Linked DNA regions of Alligator mississippiensis. The main gene of each other region encodes a partner of the protein of the gene in region 2 in a complex. Links are inferred from orthologs where the notes say so. Each region holds a gene or a part of one and is shown on either strand. Other genes may lie near its edges.

The links.
Region 1: the proteins of TJP1 (region 2) and GJC1 are in contact, whole or in part, in a crystal structure (PDB 3SHW), measured with the Homo sapiens proteins. The link is inferred for Alligator mississippiensis from reciprocal best matches to the Homo sapiens genes TJP1 and GJC1. Residues at the interface, in NP_003248.3 of Homo sapiens: Lys429, Ser432, Val433, Gly434, Leu435, Arg436, Leu437, Gly449, Val450, Leu451, Val484, Leu487, Leu488, Leu549, Asn551, Gly552, Lys553; in NP_001073852.1 of Homo sapiens: Lys391, Thr392, Ser393, Val394, Trp395, Ile396.

What each region holds. Positions count from the first base shown.
Region 1 is NC_081827.1:161,882,614-161,890,246, reverse strand, and holds the start of GJC1 (gap junction gamma-1 protein), read right to left. Parts: upstream 3,167-7,633; 5' UTR 3,068-3,166; intron 2,481-3,067; 5' UTR 2,345-2,480; exon of another isoform or gene 2,343-2,344; intron 1-2,342. UniProt on the Homo sapiens protein: One gap junction consists of a cluster of closely packed pairs of transmembrane channels, the connexons, through which materials of low MW diffuse from one cell to a neighboring cell.
Region 2 is NC_081834.1:36,583,810-36,591,644, forward strand, and holds the start of TJP1 (tight junction protein ZO-1), read right to left. Parts: upstream 3,319-7,835; 5' UTR 3,304-3,318; coding exon 3,137-3,303; intron 1-3,136. UniProt on the Homo sapiens protein: TJP1, TJP2, and TJP3 are closely related scaffolding proteins that link tight junction (TJ) transmembrane proteins such as claudins, junctional adhesion molecules, and occludin to the actin cytoskeleton.

The DNA of each region.
Region 1 (7,633 bases), on a different chromosome or scaffold from region 2:
CAAGCTAAAATTTACACCTCAGGGGTGAAATCAAGTTCCAACTGAGGTTAACAGCATTGGCTATATGGGGTTGAGTTCTGTCTAGTGTTTTGAGATTGGCATGGCATGGCATAGGAGAAACCATGGGAGAAAACTGAGACAACAGTGCCTATATATCTCTTGCTTCAATTCTGCTGTTACGCTGATCAATGGACAGAGGTACGCAGTTACACTCCTTTCACCTGTTTGATCGCAAGACAAAAGCTGTTGTCAGAACAGAAAGAGAAAGCTGGATGGAGTTCAGAGCTGTTGAGGACTCATCTCAGGAGAGTGCTAAGATGCTTTGCAACTCCTCTGGCCACAAATGGCTTTAAACAATTTTGATCTGCTCAAGCAAAACTAGATGCCAGTTTAGATTAAACTAATTTTCAAAATGTATTAAAACAGGCAACAACATGCTTATATCAATGCTATTTTAGAATTTCAATAGGGACAAATAAACAAATACTTTCATAGTGACAGCAAATAAAAGTGTAATTAGGGGGGGACAAAGCTAGTGATCCAAAATCCCCACAAGCTTTATAATGAGCAATATTGCCCACAAAACTAAACTAAACTATCTGCCAGAGTCACATTAGTGTCACTGAGGCCAAGACAGACTAAGTAACTATATCAGTTTGTCAGACAAGGACCTTGGAATAGAAAGGTGCATCCACTTTTTTTGTTGCTGGATACAGAAGTCAGCCAGTGCTTCTTGAGCTAAGTGCAGGTTGGAAACTTCCTTCTTTCAGCCTATCAACATTTTAAGCTTTACAGTATAAGAATATTTACAATAGTTAATTTTCAAACCCGTTTTGATGATGTAGGTAGTGGCTTTAATGTGGAACCAACCTGTCATGACATCAGGTCTTCACGCTGGGATTTGTACCAAATACAAGCATGCTCTATTGGCAGATGGCAGAGAAGTGCTTTTAGAAATAACATCTTTTCATGAAAGTTTACTAAAAAAAATTAATTTACTGGGTTTCAGATGGAAATTATAGATGCTTTGGTATGTCTTGAAATAAGGAAACTTCTCAAACCAGAATCCCCCATGAAATAAAGAAAAAGAAATTCTAACGTTGAGGCCGTAAGAACTTTATGAAGGTCTTGCACAACCATTATACTACATATTACCCCTTAAAGCCAAAAAACTACATGTACATGAATAAAGTGTGTTCTACTAAAAATTGCGTAAAAAATTGGTTCAGAGATGCTCAGAAAAGTGTGTATGCTCATAATCTGATGTGGCTATAAACAGACTTGATCGCCAATGATGGCTAATATCCTATTCAGTTTCAAAAGAATATTTCAAGCATTGATTGGGCTAGAGAAATACAGCCTTGCCCAACAGAAACAGGCAATTATGTACATATATATGCACACACATGCACATGCTAGTTACATCAGCATTTAATGCTGCCCAGGAAATAAAAAAAACATACACCCCACACTAACCGTAATATTACAAGTTCTAAAGAAAATGAAATTATGATTTACAACTTTGGTTCTCAATAAGGAGCTCTGATAATGAAAGACATTTTATAATTAAACTGTAAACTAAATTAAGACTGGTCTGCATGTTCTGAGTTAGCACTAAATACATTTAATTTTCATACATTTCAGCTGCTTATGTATTTCACGCAATCTTATCTTTCTATTAAAAAAACAAGCTTTTGCATCATTTAAAATCCAAAAGAAAGTTGTTTCTAAGGCACACAGCAGTTGGGCACATAACTTTCCAAAGAGTGCCAAGAACCACACTGACTTTTGTGTCTTAAAAATCTGCCCCTAGATCTATTGTAAATTCTTCCCTCTACTTCCAAATGTTTGAAAGTCTCTAACAGCTTGTTTTAATAAACCAGAGAATTAATATAGTAAAAACTTTTCTCCTGCTGACAATTCAAAAGATCAAGTTACATCTACAACAGCTAAACAGGGTTGGGTCACTGGTTCACTCTGGAAAGTTTTCGGACTAGAAAAACTAACGCAATCTTGGAACTGGCCTGCAGTCATCAGCTAAGGTTACTTCAGAAACTTGTTTCTAAACAACACTTATGAAGAACAAGGTTCAAAACAGTGAATCTGTGGCAGCCTTTTGAACTCCACTCTACAAAAGAATGATCGATAAATTGTTCTGACGGGATCGATTTTATTAGACACACCATGACAGCCTCCCTTTTAGCCCCAATCTTGACAGGCTGTCACTGATTCTGCAGAACACTTTAAATCCTAAATTTCACAGACTGAAAATCAGGGTTGGCTTTCTACCCAGAAAGAGGTAAGACAGAAACAGCACAGAATCGCCGCTAAAATTTACTCACACGGTTCAACGATTCCTAGGGAGGAAGGAATTAGACTTGATGAGACATCAGATGGCGTTGTACCGAAGAGGACAAAAGAGAAGATAAAACGCTGCCACCGGACGCGGAGAAGCAAGGCTCTGTGGGCCTGTGTTTCGCCTAGGACAAAGGGTAAAGCGTTCCTGAGGAACACAGATATGAACCAGCGGAAGCACACGGCGATGATGTTTCCAATGCTGCCACCGTTTCAGAGGCACCCGGCACGGCCCCCTTCCCCTTCCCTCCACAGCATGCGACGGCATTCGGCGCAAAGGGTTTTCTCTTTATGCTCTGGAGAAGTGAAAAACCCTGGACAGCCACGACGAGCCGAGCCACCCGCGGGCTCTTTTCTAGCTCTGCCTCCCACCCCCCAAACAGTCCGGCCAAGTCTTAGGGATTTAACATCTCCGAGATCTTTTTCCTTCCCCCTTAAGCATGGCAGCTAACTCCAGGCTTGGCAGCCGGACATTGATCCCATCCAAATACAGAAATCAATCAGTGGATGCCAATCCCTCCAGCACCCCCGCCACACCACAGCCACCCATCCTCACAACAAAAGGGCACAACACCAAATCCCCCGTGCAGGGGGCAGGTGCCAGGCTGGGGCAGCACCAGGGGCAAGGGGCCACCCACCGTGCCCCCCAAACCCTCCAGGCCGGGGCAAGACCCCAGCCCCAGGCAGGGGCGCCCCCTGCTGGCGCACTCACCCGCCGGGGCACTGTGCAGGGGCACGCGCGGCCGCCCTCGGCGGGGAGCCCCACCCTCCGCCGCCTCGGCGGGACCCCGCCACAGGGGAGCAGGAGAGGGGGCCGGGGCGCATGCGCGCGGCCGCCCTCGCCCCCTTCCAGATGTGCGTTGCAACCGCCGCCGCTGCCGGGCGAGCCTCCCTCCCGCGTCCCCCCCCGCCGAGCCGTTCCGCTGGGACCAGCCACCTTCAGAGCGGAGAGGGCAGGGGCCGAGGCTGAAGTTGGTGCCTTTTCCCGGTTCCTTTTCAAAAGCTCATCTTTACACAGGGAAAGGTTGTTAGCAAAGAGTTAGACGTGGCTAAAGAGTTCGTCAGAAATGGAGATTGACTAATAAGAAAATGGAAAAGAAGCTCATTTATGGAGCCCTGAGATTGGGCTGGGGTCATGGGGCACATTCCTCCTCAGGGCGCCCCAGCCCACGTGCCTGCACCACCGGAAAAAATCTGAGCAGGGTGGTGTCTGGCCCAAAGCTCAGTACATTTTTCATGATACATTTCGGATGAACTTCTAGCTTTTTAGCATGTCTGATTCACTCCAACAACCTTTTTGTTGTGTAAAGATTAGCTTTGAGAAAGGGGCAGGGAAGAAAGACCCAACTTCAGCTTCGTGCCTTCCAAGCCCTTCAGCAGAGAACAGAAACTGGGTTTCAGATGGAAATTATAGATGCCTTGGTTTCCAAGCCCTTCAGCTGAAAGCAGAAACCCCCACCACACCCTAAAGGTGTGGACTCTCCATCAGTGGAGGGATAGGTCTGGGAGGATCTATAGCAGCCACTCTGATTCTCCGCTGGGGGTGTGTGTGGCACCCTGGGGTGCCTCAAGATTCCCCAGTTACAGACGTGTAGCCGTGTTGGTCTAAGGACATAGGCAGACAAGGTTCCTCGGGTGAACCTGATATCTTTGATTAGACCTGACAAAGGGTTTTTGAACCCGAAAGCTTGCTTAATAATTATTTTCCAACTATTTGGGTTGGTCTAATAAAAGATATCAGATTCACCCAAGGAACCTTGTCTGCCTCAAGATTCCCCATGGTGTTAGTCCTGCAAGGCTTACACAAGCAGGATGTGTAAAAGTAAACCTGAAGATTGCCAATAAAAATCTGTGCTGTTAAGATTTCTTGCAGTCTTTCTGAGCCCTTGGCAACAGAAGGATTGCTCCCTTATTTTTCTGTAGTCAAAAAAGAAGTGAAAAGTAAGAGCTGGCATTTTCTGAGGGTTGAATGAGGAAGTCTAAAAAAAGCTTGAGAACCCCTGGCTATGTTCTGCTGTGAGTTTTTCCCATGCTTCTGGGCTTTCCTGGTTACCGTGTGCAGCTGGGAGGGGATTTTTTCCCCTTCCTGCTGCTACATGCTTCAGGGTTTTTCTTTTAAGACTTCCTCAGAAGCATTGGGTATTGGCTACAGCCACAGCTGGAGATTTTGACTAGGACGTGCCAGTGCTTCTGCTGCGATTTAAACCCAGAGGTTCCTGGTTAAAGAGTCCTGCCCCTTGGCTCTGGGTCAGACCAATCATCATATCTGGGGTCAGGAAGGAATTTTACCCTGTGGTCAGATGGATGTAGACTGTGGGCGTTTTTGTCTTCCTTTGCAGCGGAGGGGATGACCCTCTACCTAGGATGTCTGGAGCATATTTTAACAACCTTTCCACTAGGAGGATGTTGGCTATGATGGTCCCCCTGCTCTGCCTGTGTGTAGCATATTAGGGTGCTGTCTTGCTTTTTGTCAGGGTTGATGGTATAGTTTTGTTAACCAGTTAGGCAATGGATTTCTATAGTTTGGATCGGGATGATCCCTGCCTCAGACAGGGGGTTAGACTAGATCAGGAGTGTCAAACTCATCCTGGGCCCGAGGCCAGATCTGGATTATGGAAGTTCCTCCTGGACCAGATCTGCAGAGCCAGCAGCAGCTGCGATGGGTCTGAGTCTAATGGCACGGTAGGGGGAGTGGGCAGCAGTATGGATCCAGACAGGCAGCACTGGGGCAAGCGAGTGCTGTATCTCCCTGTCCTGCTCCCTGATCTATAACGTATTTTGAAAAGCATGAATTCCACAAGAGCTGGCTTCTCAGGATACTTTGGTGACAAAGTGTGAAGCAGCAATAATAATATAAGAGTATTATTTAGAGTGCCTTTAATTTTGAAGGATTTGGTTCCTGGGGATCAGGACTTTCATCAGGAATATTACCTGTTTTGTCCCTGTGAAAAACTACTGACAGTTGATCAAGGTTAAAGGCTCTTGCAGTTTGCATGTGCTCTGCAGAGATGACTTTGATTTTAGTGAATAAATTCCTCAAAGATTCCATCTGGGCTAGGCAGATACTAGCCCTTGGCTGAGTAAGGCTTGCCCTAAACTAGAAGCTCAGATCTGTTGTGAGCCATGCCTTGTCAGGTGTGGGTCTGGGCACCCAAGCTGGGAGCAGGGAGACCATTTCTCCAGTGCCCTTCCTGATGGATCTATGTGGAGTAGGGGAGGAAGCCAATGGATTCAAACGCAGAGGAGACAAGACTTGGATGTGCAGAAGAGGCAAAGTAGATTGGAACAAGGAGCCCACCATGACAGATGTAGAAGCAGAAACTGGGATGAGAGGCTGGAAGGTGAAAGAGGGAAACTATAACTGTTTTGTGGGGAGACTGGGACTGGGAGCAAGAGAAGGACAAAAGAAAAACTAGGAGGCACTAGGTGGATGGCAGAGTAAAAGAAAATGAGGAGCCAGGCAACTATCTGAATAAGGAGAGTAGGATGAGAGGCCTAAGGAGTGAAGACTTGTCATGAGCTGGTGAAGAGAATGGGACCAGGAAGCAAGGACTGTGATGAGACACGGCTGAGACAGGGGGAGAGGCAGGACAAAACTAGTTATTCTAGGGCAGTGGTTCTCAACCTCTTTAGACTCAAGGCACCCCTGGATAGATTTGAGGACCCCTTGGAAGATGCCAGCTTTTAACTTGCAATCTGTTGCAAACAACTCAGAAAGACCACAACTATGAATATCTAGTGGAAATCTCTGGGTTTATCTTGTGAATCATATTTGTAAACCTAACAGTGGTAACTTTGTTTGGCACTCCATGGCATCCTTGAAGGATCTCAAGGCACCCTGGGATTCTGCAGTACCCTGGTTGAGAATCATTGTCCTAGGGGGAAGAGGTGGAAGAATCTGTGGGTGCGGAACAGCCCCGCTTCCAGATTCTGGACCTGAGCACAGGGTCCTTGAGTTCACAATCCCTCTGCTGTCATCAGATATCTGTGAAACACCCTGGCAAAGTGTCCCATCCGCCACTGGTGCTGGTCCACACAGAGGATAACAAGCTACCACTGCTATCAGTTACTTGATTAGCTCAAGTGGCTGAAGTCTCTGTGATTCAAAGGTACCAAACCTGCTGATGACATTATGTCATGTTATTGAATGTTTAGGGATTTTTTTCAGTTTGCTTTTTTTTTTTTTTTTTTAAGCAAGCAGTTGCCCAGACTTACACAGAACATGAAGCAGAGAGGTCCAACAGAAATCAATTCTACACAGCTTTCATCCAGCCCCAGAGCTGGCCCATACTGTGCACTAAAAGATGCAGCATTTTTTGAATGAAAAATGGGATGTGATTGTGTAATTAAAAATGTACAGGCAACCTTAATCCTGGCATTTCCTATTTAATCCATGACTTTACGATCTTCATAATCATACAATCATAGAAAATTAGGATTGAAAGGGCCCCCAGGAGATCATTTAGTCCAACCTCCTGCTCAAAGCAGGACCAGCCCCAACTAGATCATCCAAGCCAAGGCTTGGTCCAGCTGGGTCTTGAAAACCTCCAAGGATGGAGATTCCACCACTTCTCTGAGTAGCTTGTTCCAGTGTTTTACTACCCACCCAGTGAGAAAATTCTTCCTAATATCTAACCTAAACTTCCCTTGCTGCAACTTGAGACTTGCTGTTTGTTCTTTCATCTGCCACCACTGAGAACAGTCTAGCTCCATCCTCTTTCAAACCCCCTTTCGGGTAGTTGAAAGCTGCTATTAAATCCCCCTTCAGTCATCTCTTCTCTAGACTAAATAAGCCCAGCTCCCTCAGCCTCTCCTCATAAGTCATGTCCCCCAGCACCTGAACCATTTTTGTTGCCCCTGCTGGACTCTCTTCAATTTATGCACATCCTTTCTGTAGTGGGGGGCCCAAAACTGAACACAGTACTCCAGATGTGGCCTCACCAGTGCTGAACAGAGGGGAATAATCACTTTCCTTGACCTGCTAACAATGTTCCTACTGATGCAGCCCAGTATGCCATTAGCCTTCTTTGCAACAAGGGCACACTGCTGGCTCATATTCAGCTTATTTTCTGCTGTAACCCCCAGGTCCTTTTCTGCAGAGCTGCTGCCCAGCCAGTCAGCCCCCAGCCTGTGCCGGTGCATGGGATTGTTCCATCCAAAGTACAGGACTTTGCACTTGTCTTTATTGAGCCTCATGAGATCTCTTTTGGCCCAATCCTTCAATTTGTCTAGTCATTCTGAATCCTAGCCCTACCCTCCAGCGTATCTACTACTCCCC
Region 2 (7,835 bases):
GTAGCTGTGCTTTTTGTGTTTTCCAAACAGAATTTACATTTCTTATGGGCAGGCAGAAGGAAATTATAGTGGCAGATGTTCTGTAAAGAAATAAACAATTGCTGCTACCTTTTCATTTTCATTCAGTAGGATTCAGGTGGATTATCTCCACCAACAAAAGATAAGTATTTTAAACCTTTTTTTTATTAAATAATTTATTTTGCTTGCACTTCAGTATGTACTAACATACCAAGCAACTCAGGAATATGGTAACGCAAGCAAGAATACTGAAACTGTCATTTTTCAAAACTTAAAGAACATGCAACCATTCGGTCATTTAAAAAGTAATAGCTAATTTAATTTGTACATTTTTGTTCTTATAGCAGGTGAGAGATTATAGATGATATAGTAACTGCATTTACTTTTGCTTTGCACTTTGGTAATATTACGTTGCTCTTTGATAATAAAAAATTAGCATACTAATTTAAAAAAACCAAATTTCTTTGTTTCATGTATGATTTGATAAAAACTAAACTAAAATCACAGAGTTAAAAATACCCCTTAAGCAGTCTTCTAAATGCATCAGAAAGGACTATTTCATTCACAGGTAAATATTCTATCCATACAGACAATGTCATGTTGATGCTACCCAAGCTCCCAACCCAAAGTTGATATCTGTAGTACGTTATTCACTGAGGAAAATTACACTTTGAGACACTAATCTAAAGGATAGAAAATGCATGATTTTACGTAATTGGCACAGATTACTCTGCAGAAAAAGCATGTTATTTTTGTCTGATCTTTAGACCTATATCACCAACCTGACTGCTCATATAATACGGCACTGGGTGTAATGTGAACACAGAGGCAAGAGGTGCTGCAGATGTAAATGGATTCCATGAATATAGCATATTTTTCCTTCAGACATTTGTGAATCATTTAAGATCCACTCTATTGTCTTGACTATCCCTCACAAAGCAGAGAAATCTGGCTATACAGTTGGAAAATGTAGGCCTGATCCAACTTTTAATGAAGTCAATGGACTTCATTAACTTCAGAGGATGCTGGACCAGGACCATTCAAAGTGACTTTTAAAAGAAACATATTCAGGGTTCCACTGTAATATGTGGACACAGGATCAGATTCCAAGAAAAGACAAAAACAGAAAAAGTCAATATTTGAGCTACATTATAATTATTTTTTAAAAGAAGTAATATATTCTTATACACATTGCTGTTTAAGATGCACAAGGAGTACACTGAAAGGAATGCATTATTGAGAGAATAGTGGAGGTGGTGGCATGTTATGGTTTTGACAATATCAAAACCAAATACTTGGTACTTTATACAGTACAAAAGTGGGTTTTCTGAATTTAACCAAAGTTATCCATATGAAAGAATATTTTTGTAATGGAAAATATTTTGTGCGCTTTTGTATGCTTCAGTTAATTTAATTTGGAAATTACAATATTTCTGTTTTTTAAATCATGTTGCTTTCTACAAATGGTATAATAAGATTTAATAATAACAACAGAAAGCTTAGTAGTTGCACATATAAAAGTATAGTTATGCAACTAACAAACCTGGATGGCATCCAAAAATACTAAAATGTAAAAATAGTTTTTTCTTCAGTTTTACATATCCTGAAACATACAAGAAAAAGACAAACTCTGGAAGAAATACAGTAAATGGCAGATCTACAGCAATTTTATTCTGCTTCTCTGAGGTATGTCCAGGAGGTTATGTTGTCTGTTCCGGATGAGTGTGTAAGAATTATACATATATATATATATATATATATATATATATATATATATATATATATATATATATATATATGGTTATATATAAATATAAAAATCAAGGCCAATTCAAGACAGAGCCTATTTGCCAATTGTGACAAGACGCTGCTCCTGAAAACAGATCATTTTAGAGTCATCTTCTTTTTTTAACAGCATGTCCAATCACTTCTTTCTCTGACACTCTGCACTCTTCCACTGTGACCATGGCCACAGTGACAGACAATCGTATGACCACTACTGCTTAAGTGTCATTCTCCGTGTCCTGTAAACATTTTTCCCTGCTGTACAAATGCAATAGAAAATCCTGATACTTTCCCCAGAATATTTATCTTTGTAGCCACGTGACTTTTCCTCCTTAATATTATTTGTTCTGACAATGACATGTGTCCTACTGCTTCAATCAAACTGATAGCAGTCCCTTCCAAGTCAAAAAGAGTGACTGGACAGTGCAATGCCATCTGTTGCTTGATGCCCTTGCCCACATTTTACAAAGTGACACTTCACAGTATATTTTCCATAACATGGATTTTTGATTCCTCCAGAAATCAGTTCAGCTCACTGACCAGAAAACCACAAAGGCCAGTGGAAACGAGGTGCACAGAAAGGTTATTTTTTTTTAACCGTATCGAAGCCACATATTGGATCTTCCTTTTTGGAGATTCGTATGTGTGCCGAGTCAATTGTGGCTTTAAATGTATGAGTATGAGATAGGTATAGGAGCATGTGGGTGAGCTAGATATGTAAGAGTATGAAATAGATGTCCAAGTATGAGCTATACAGATCTCGTACCCTGATATATGAGAGTTATCAGTATGAGATAGATAGATAGATGGATAGAGAGATAAGAGTATGAGATAGAGAGATAGATACCAGAGTATCACACACACACACACACACACACACACACACACCTGAGTGTGAGATTAAGATGTATCCATCTGGCACTGGGATCTCTCTCCCACACTCATCTACCCGAGCATGAGAGACAGAGGTAACGGTGCGAGATGCCCATGTGCGTAGGGCAGAGGCATCTCCTGCTCACACAGGCGAGCCCCAGGCGGACCCCCGAGTGCGAGCCCGAGCCCGAGCCCGAGCCCGAGGGAGGCAGCCTTGGGAGGTGCGAGCGGGGCAAGGCGCAGCGGAGCACGAGCCAGGCTTGCCCCCGGGGCCCGTGGCGGAAGGCGCTGCCACGGTGTCCGGGACCCGCGCCGGCCCGCCCGCCCGCCCGCCCGGCGGTGCCCGCGATGCCGCAGGCGGCGGCGGCGGCGGCGGCACTGGACAGCTCCCTCCCGCGCCCGCCGCCATGGCCCTGCGGCAGCGCAGCCGGCCGCCCCGCATCGCCCCGCGCCTACTCACCACAGCTTCCGCTTGAGGGGCATGAGGCTGCCGCGGTTGGAGGCGGTCACCCCGATGGCCATCTGCAAGACCGTCAGGTATTTCTGGTACTTCATTTTGCCGTCGCTCCCCCGGTCCCTGCCTCGTCCCCGCCGCCGCCACCGACAGAGTCTCTCCAGCCGCTGCATGCAACCATCCGATGGTGATTCCCAGGCATCTGCCGGCCCTGCCTCGCGCCTGCCGCTCTCCCCCGCCTGCCGCCGCTCCTGCTCCTCCTCCTCCGCCGCCGCCGCCGCCGCCGCCGCCGCCTGCTCCGCGCTCCCCCGGCTCACGCCGCCTCCTCCTCCTCCTCCTCCTCCTCCCGCGCTGCCCCCCGCTGACGCGGCCTCCTCCGCCCCCGAGCGCGGGGCATCTCCCGCCCGCGCCGCCGCCGCCACCGCTACCGCCACCGCCTCCTCCCCTCCCCTCCCCTCCCGTCCCCTCCGCGCTCCTCTCCTCCCGCCGCGCCGTGAGGCGGAGCTCCTCTCCTCTCGCCCGCACCTGCGGCCGCCCCCATGGCTCTGCCCTCGCCCCCTCTCGCTGCCCTGCGGCTCGGCCCCCGCTCGTCCAAGCTCCTTAGTGCCGAGAATAGCCCCGCGTTATTTCCTTCCCGCGCGGCGCCCCCCACCACGGCTGGGGCTGGGGCTGTGGCGGGCCTGAGCCGGGAGCTGTCCCGTCCCGTCCCGTCCCGTCCTGTCCCGCGCAGACGGACTTGGGGTCCCCCCGCGCCTCCTCAAGCGGCAGAGCCGGCGCCTCCCCTGCACAGCTCCCAGACCAACGGCCTGAAGGACACAAGCGCCGCTCTCCATTCTCCCAAGTGGCAGCAAGGACTGAAGTGAATCCACCTTGTTCAGTTATATGCGCGGGGGGGGGGGGGGGGGGGGGGGGGCGTTTCTATAGGTGCCACCACTTTGGTCATGCTGGAGGAAATAAAAAAGCATGATCAAGTGGTGGGGCATGGGCACAAGATGGATACTAATGCAGTCTTAAATTGTTGGTACCATTCAACCCCAAGTTCACTATTAAAAACCAAGTGCCCTGTCCTTTCAGCCTCAGCACACCCCAAATTTAAGTTGCGTGCAGTGTACTGATGTACCAGCCTTGACACACAGAAGCAGTGAGGTGCACTTGCCTCTTGGGGGGAGAGCAGTACCCAGCTGACCACCAATACTAGATGTTGTGACTAGCGCTACCAGAACAAACCCACCTCCTCTCAACAAGCTCAAAAACATCTTTAATGTCCACACAAAGCAGTGAAGACCTAACATAACATAACATGATACCCTTACTACTACTACTACTAACAATAATAAAAAAAAATCCTTTTGAACCTTCCCAGGAAAGATGCTCTCATATGAATACTGGGAAGCAGCACTCCAGAATTACAGCTCTTCAGCAGAGGTTTTGCTACCCATGTTCTCAAGATTATTACCAGAGATGGTTTGAAATTGACTCCTTAAAATATCAGTTGCCACAACAGTTCATTCGACTGCCCCTATGTTATTTCAATGTGCATACATTTCGCAAGGTGTGTGTCACCAATCTCCATGAATGCAGAAGTGACAATTTTGTACCATATATTGCAAATTGCACGAACAACAGCACTTACGCTGGGTGATTGAAACAGGTGCTATCAACCGCACTAAGCTAGAAAAGAAGATGCCTTAAAAAGAATGTTTCACATGCAGGCTTAAACAGAAAATCACATTTTCCCTAGGTTCCCCTCCCCCAGCCTTTTCAGTTTTTTTCTTATATCAGTAATACATGCCTCAAAAATCACAATAGACTCGGGTTTTTTCAGCATATCAGAAGATAGGAAAACTAGCATTATACCTATAAGTAGAACAGATTTTAATTAAGACCATATTGAAATAATCACATTACTGTGGGTAATGATTTGAACAGCTGCATTCTCCTAGCCAAGAAATCTGGGATTAGTAGAAATGTCCTGAAATATTATATCATCACAGATGAAGAGATTTTAAAAATTAAGAGCCAGCTCAATGTTTCTCACATTGCCCTGCTCATCTCTAGCTCTCAAGGCACAATTCACAGGTTCTCACTCTTCTTCTAACAAATCCAGCATTAAAAAAAAGGGGGATACATTTCATTTAGCAAACAATCTTTCAGTTAAACTCTGGCCAAGAGAAAGATTAAGAGTAGAGAATTCAAGTTGTGTACTTAACCAGTACTTAACCTTTCCAAGTGTTGCCTTTAAAATTAATACTGGTAGTATCCTGATTATCAGCATTAAGTCCCACTGCCTTCTACAGAAGAGAGCAGCCAGCCTGATCTATATTATAAAGCTTAAGGAAATCCTGCTGTACCTTGAAAATGTACTTATAAGCAGAATATTGACCAAGAAATGACACTTTCTTATACAAATAATAACCGTGGTTGTTCAGAGTTACGATCTGTTCACTTAAGTGACTACAATGAATGTTTATTTTATTTTTTTATTATTCATACTGTCCCTGAAGAACCCACATAAATGTTATGAAAGATCATGACCTGGATTTTGTTCTCACCCAACCATGATAGATTTTTTACCTAAATTATAATTAAAATACTCGGTTCTGTCCCTATTTATATTTTTTTCAACTCCATTAAGATTTTAATTTATACCTGTACTATTCTGTATAATCCAATCTTTATTACTGGAAAAATTACACAAAACATTTAAAATTCTAGTTTGAATTTCAGGTCTGGAAGGTAGAAATATATGCATTTTTTGTAAAGTGGGCATATCTGATTTGGATTTTTTTAAATTGCTTTGAAATATTTGAAATTATAGGGAAAAGATAAGCACTGAATCCTACAGTATATTTCAATGGAGTCACATTTGAGACTGAATTCACTTTAAAGATTTATGGAGCAGGGTGCTAGATGCTGTGCCAGGAAGCTTTTTATAGGGACCTTTCCTTTTGGAGTAAAACTATTTTAATTCTTTCTCTGTGTTTGACCTTGCAGTCTTAGATGAACAAGGATCACTTGCATACTCTTTGTTCAAACTTACAGCTAGGCCCTGACTTAACACTAAAAACTGTGCAGGCAGATCCCTGCAAAAAGGCTCAGGCTTAAGGCCTCACTATGCCATGTAGATGTTTATTCAACTCCCTTAAAAAAATCATCCTAATTCCTAATTCTAATCTCTATTTAAATTTATTAAATCATTATAACTATTTCTGAACCAACATTATTCAATTATTCAATCCCCTCCCCTCCATGCTCAGCAGCACTTTCTCTCTCCTTCCCCTCCCTGCTCACAGATGCCCCCAGCTGACCTAGGGGTGGGTTGGGGTAACTCCAGAGCCCTTCTGCCCCACTGCAGCCAGGCTTGGCCAGAGGCAGCTGCCACAACAGCAGCAGGAGTAGGCAAGTTCTCTTCCTCTGCACATGGTCCTGGGCTGGTGGAGAACACTGCGGAGACTGGGGAAGAAGGACAGACCTACCCACTGCTGCTCCTGTTCCTGGCTGAACCTAGCTACACATGTAGCTAGCAGGAGATGCTCTGGAGCACCTCTGCTACTGGTTCATCTGGTGACAGTGGAAGAAGCAGGCCGGGGAGGGAAGAGGAGGTGCCACTGAGCATGAAGGAAAAGGGAGGGGGGAATTCTTACTAGCTTCAGGAACTTAAAAAAAACAAACAAACTGAACTGCTGCTCCCATGGTGTGAACAACTGAAATGGGGCATGTATCTATACCACTGTACCCTGCCCCCATCCACCCCCAACTTCAACTACTTTATGACTAGTGTTACAGACATGAATTAAATGATAATTTCACATTTTGATTCCTATTATTTTACCCCTCTCTCATCTCTTAGTACTGATGCATTCTATTTCTTCTGTCAGGGAACCTTGTTATAAGCACACATTTCATTAATATGACAAAGATGAGTAGGAAGATGCTTCGTGTTTTCTTGTGTCTCAGGTGAATTAATGCCTGTTTCTATCAACAGCAAATCAGCAGCCTCCTAGCTTTGGTTATACTTCCAGAATGTCCAACCCTTGCCCCATAGGGCTGTACAGCAAACCATTTAGCTCACTCATGGTAAAAAATTGCAGGCGTAGGACTTTCTCAGACAGCAGGTACTGTAAGTACATAAGTACCTTGAAGGGACATTGCTTTTGTTCTCCCTTAGACAAGCTTATTCTATGTGACAAAAGTGTTTCTCTTTCATCCATATGTCAAAAATCTATTAAACGAATGCTGTTAACATTTTTCAAACAGAAATTATGTTTCAGAAGTAATTTACTTCATATTAGACAGCTTACAATGAATATAAAAATAATATTGTTTTGACGGCAGTGTGTACAAACAGAGCAAATAAAATTAGGCAATTATGGTTTATCTAAATTAGCAGTATACCTCTCAAGAGCATTAAAACCACATTCACTTTGTTTATGTTCTTTGAAATGCTTCTTATCTGAGCTTCCTGTGGTCCTTTCTAGCTCTAGGAAATACAAGCAGTTTCTTCTGGAGAGCCTTGAATTACACTTGAATGTATGGTAGATCACCATAAATATAATACCTCAGTAAACATGTTCGTGGCTCAGACTCCTGTCCCCACTTTACAGATACTTTATGCCCATGCAACAGTTGACTTGGTCAGAACACAAGCCTAGAAAGGCCCCTTGGAGGAATTTCTTCAGTACACGGGTAGTTTAGTATCCATATA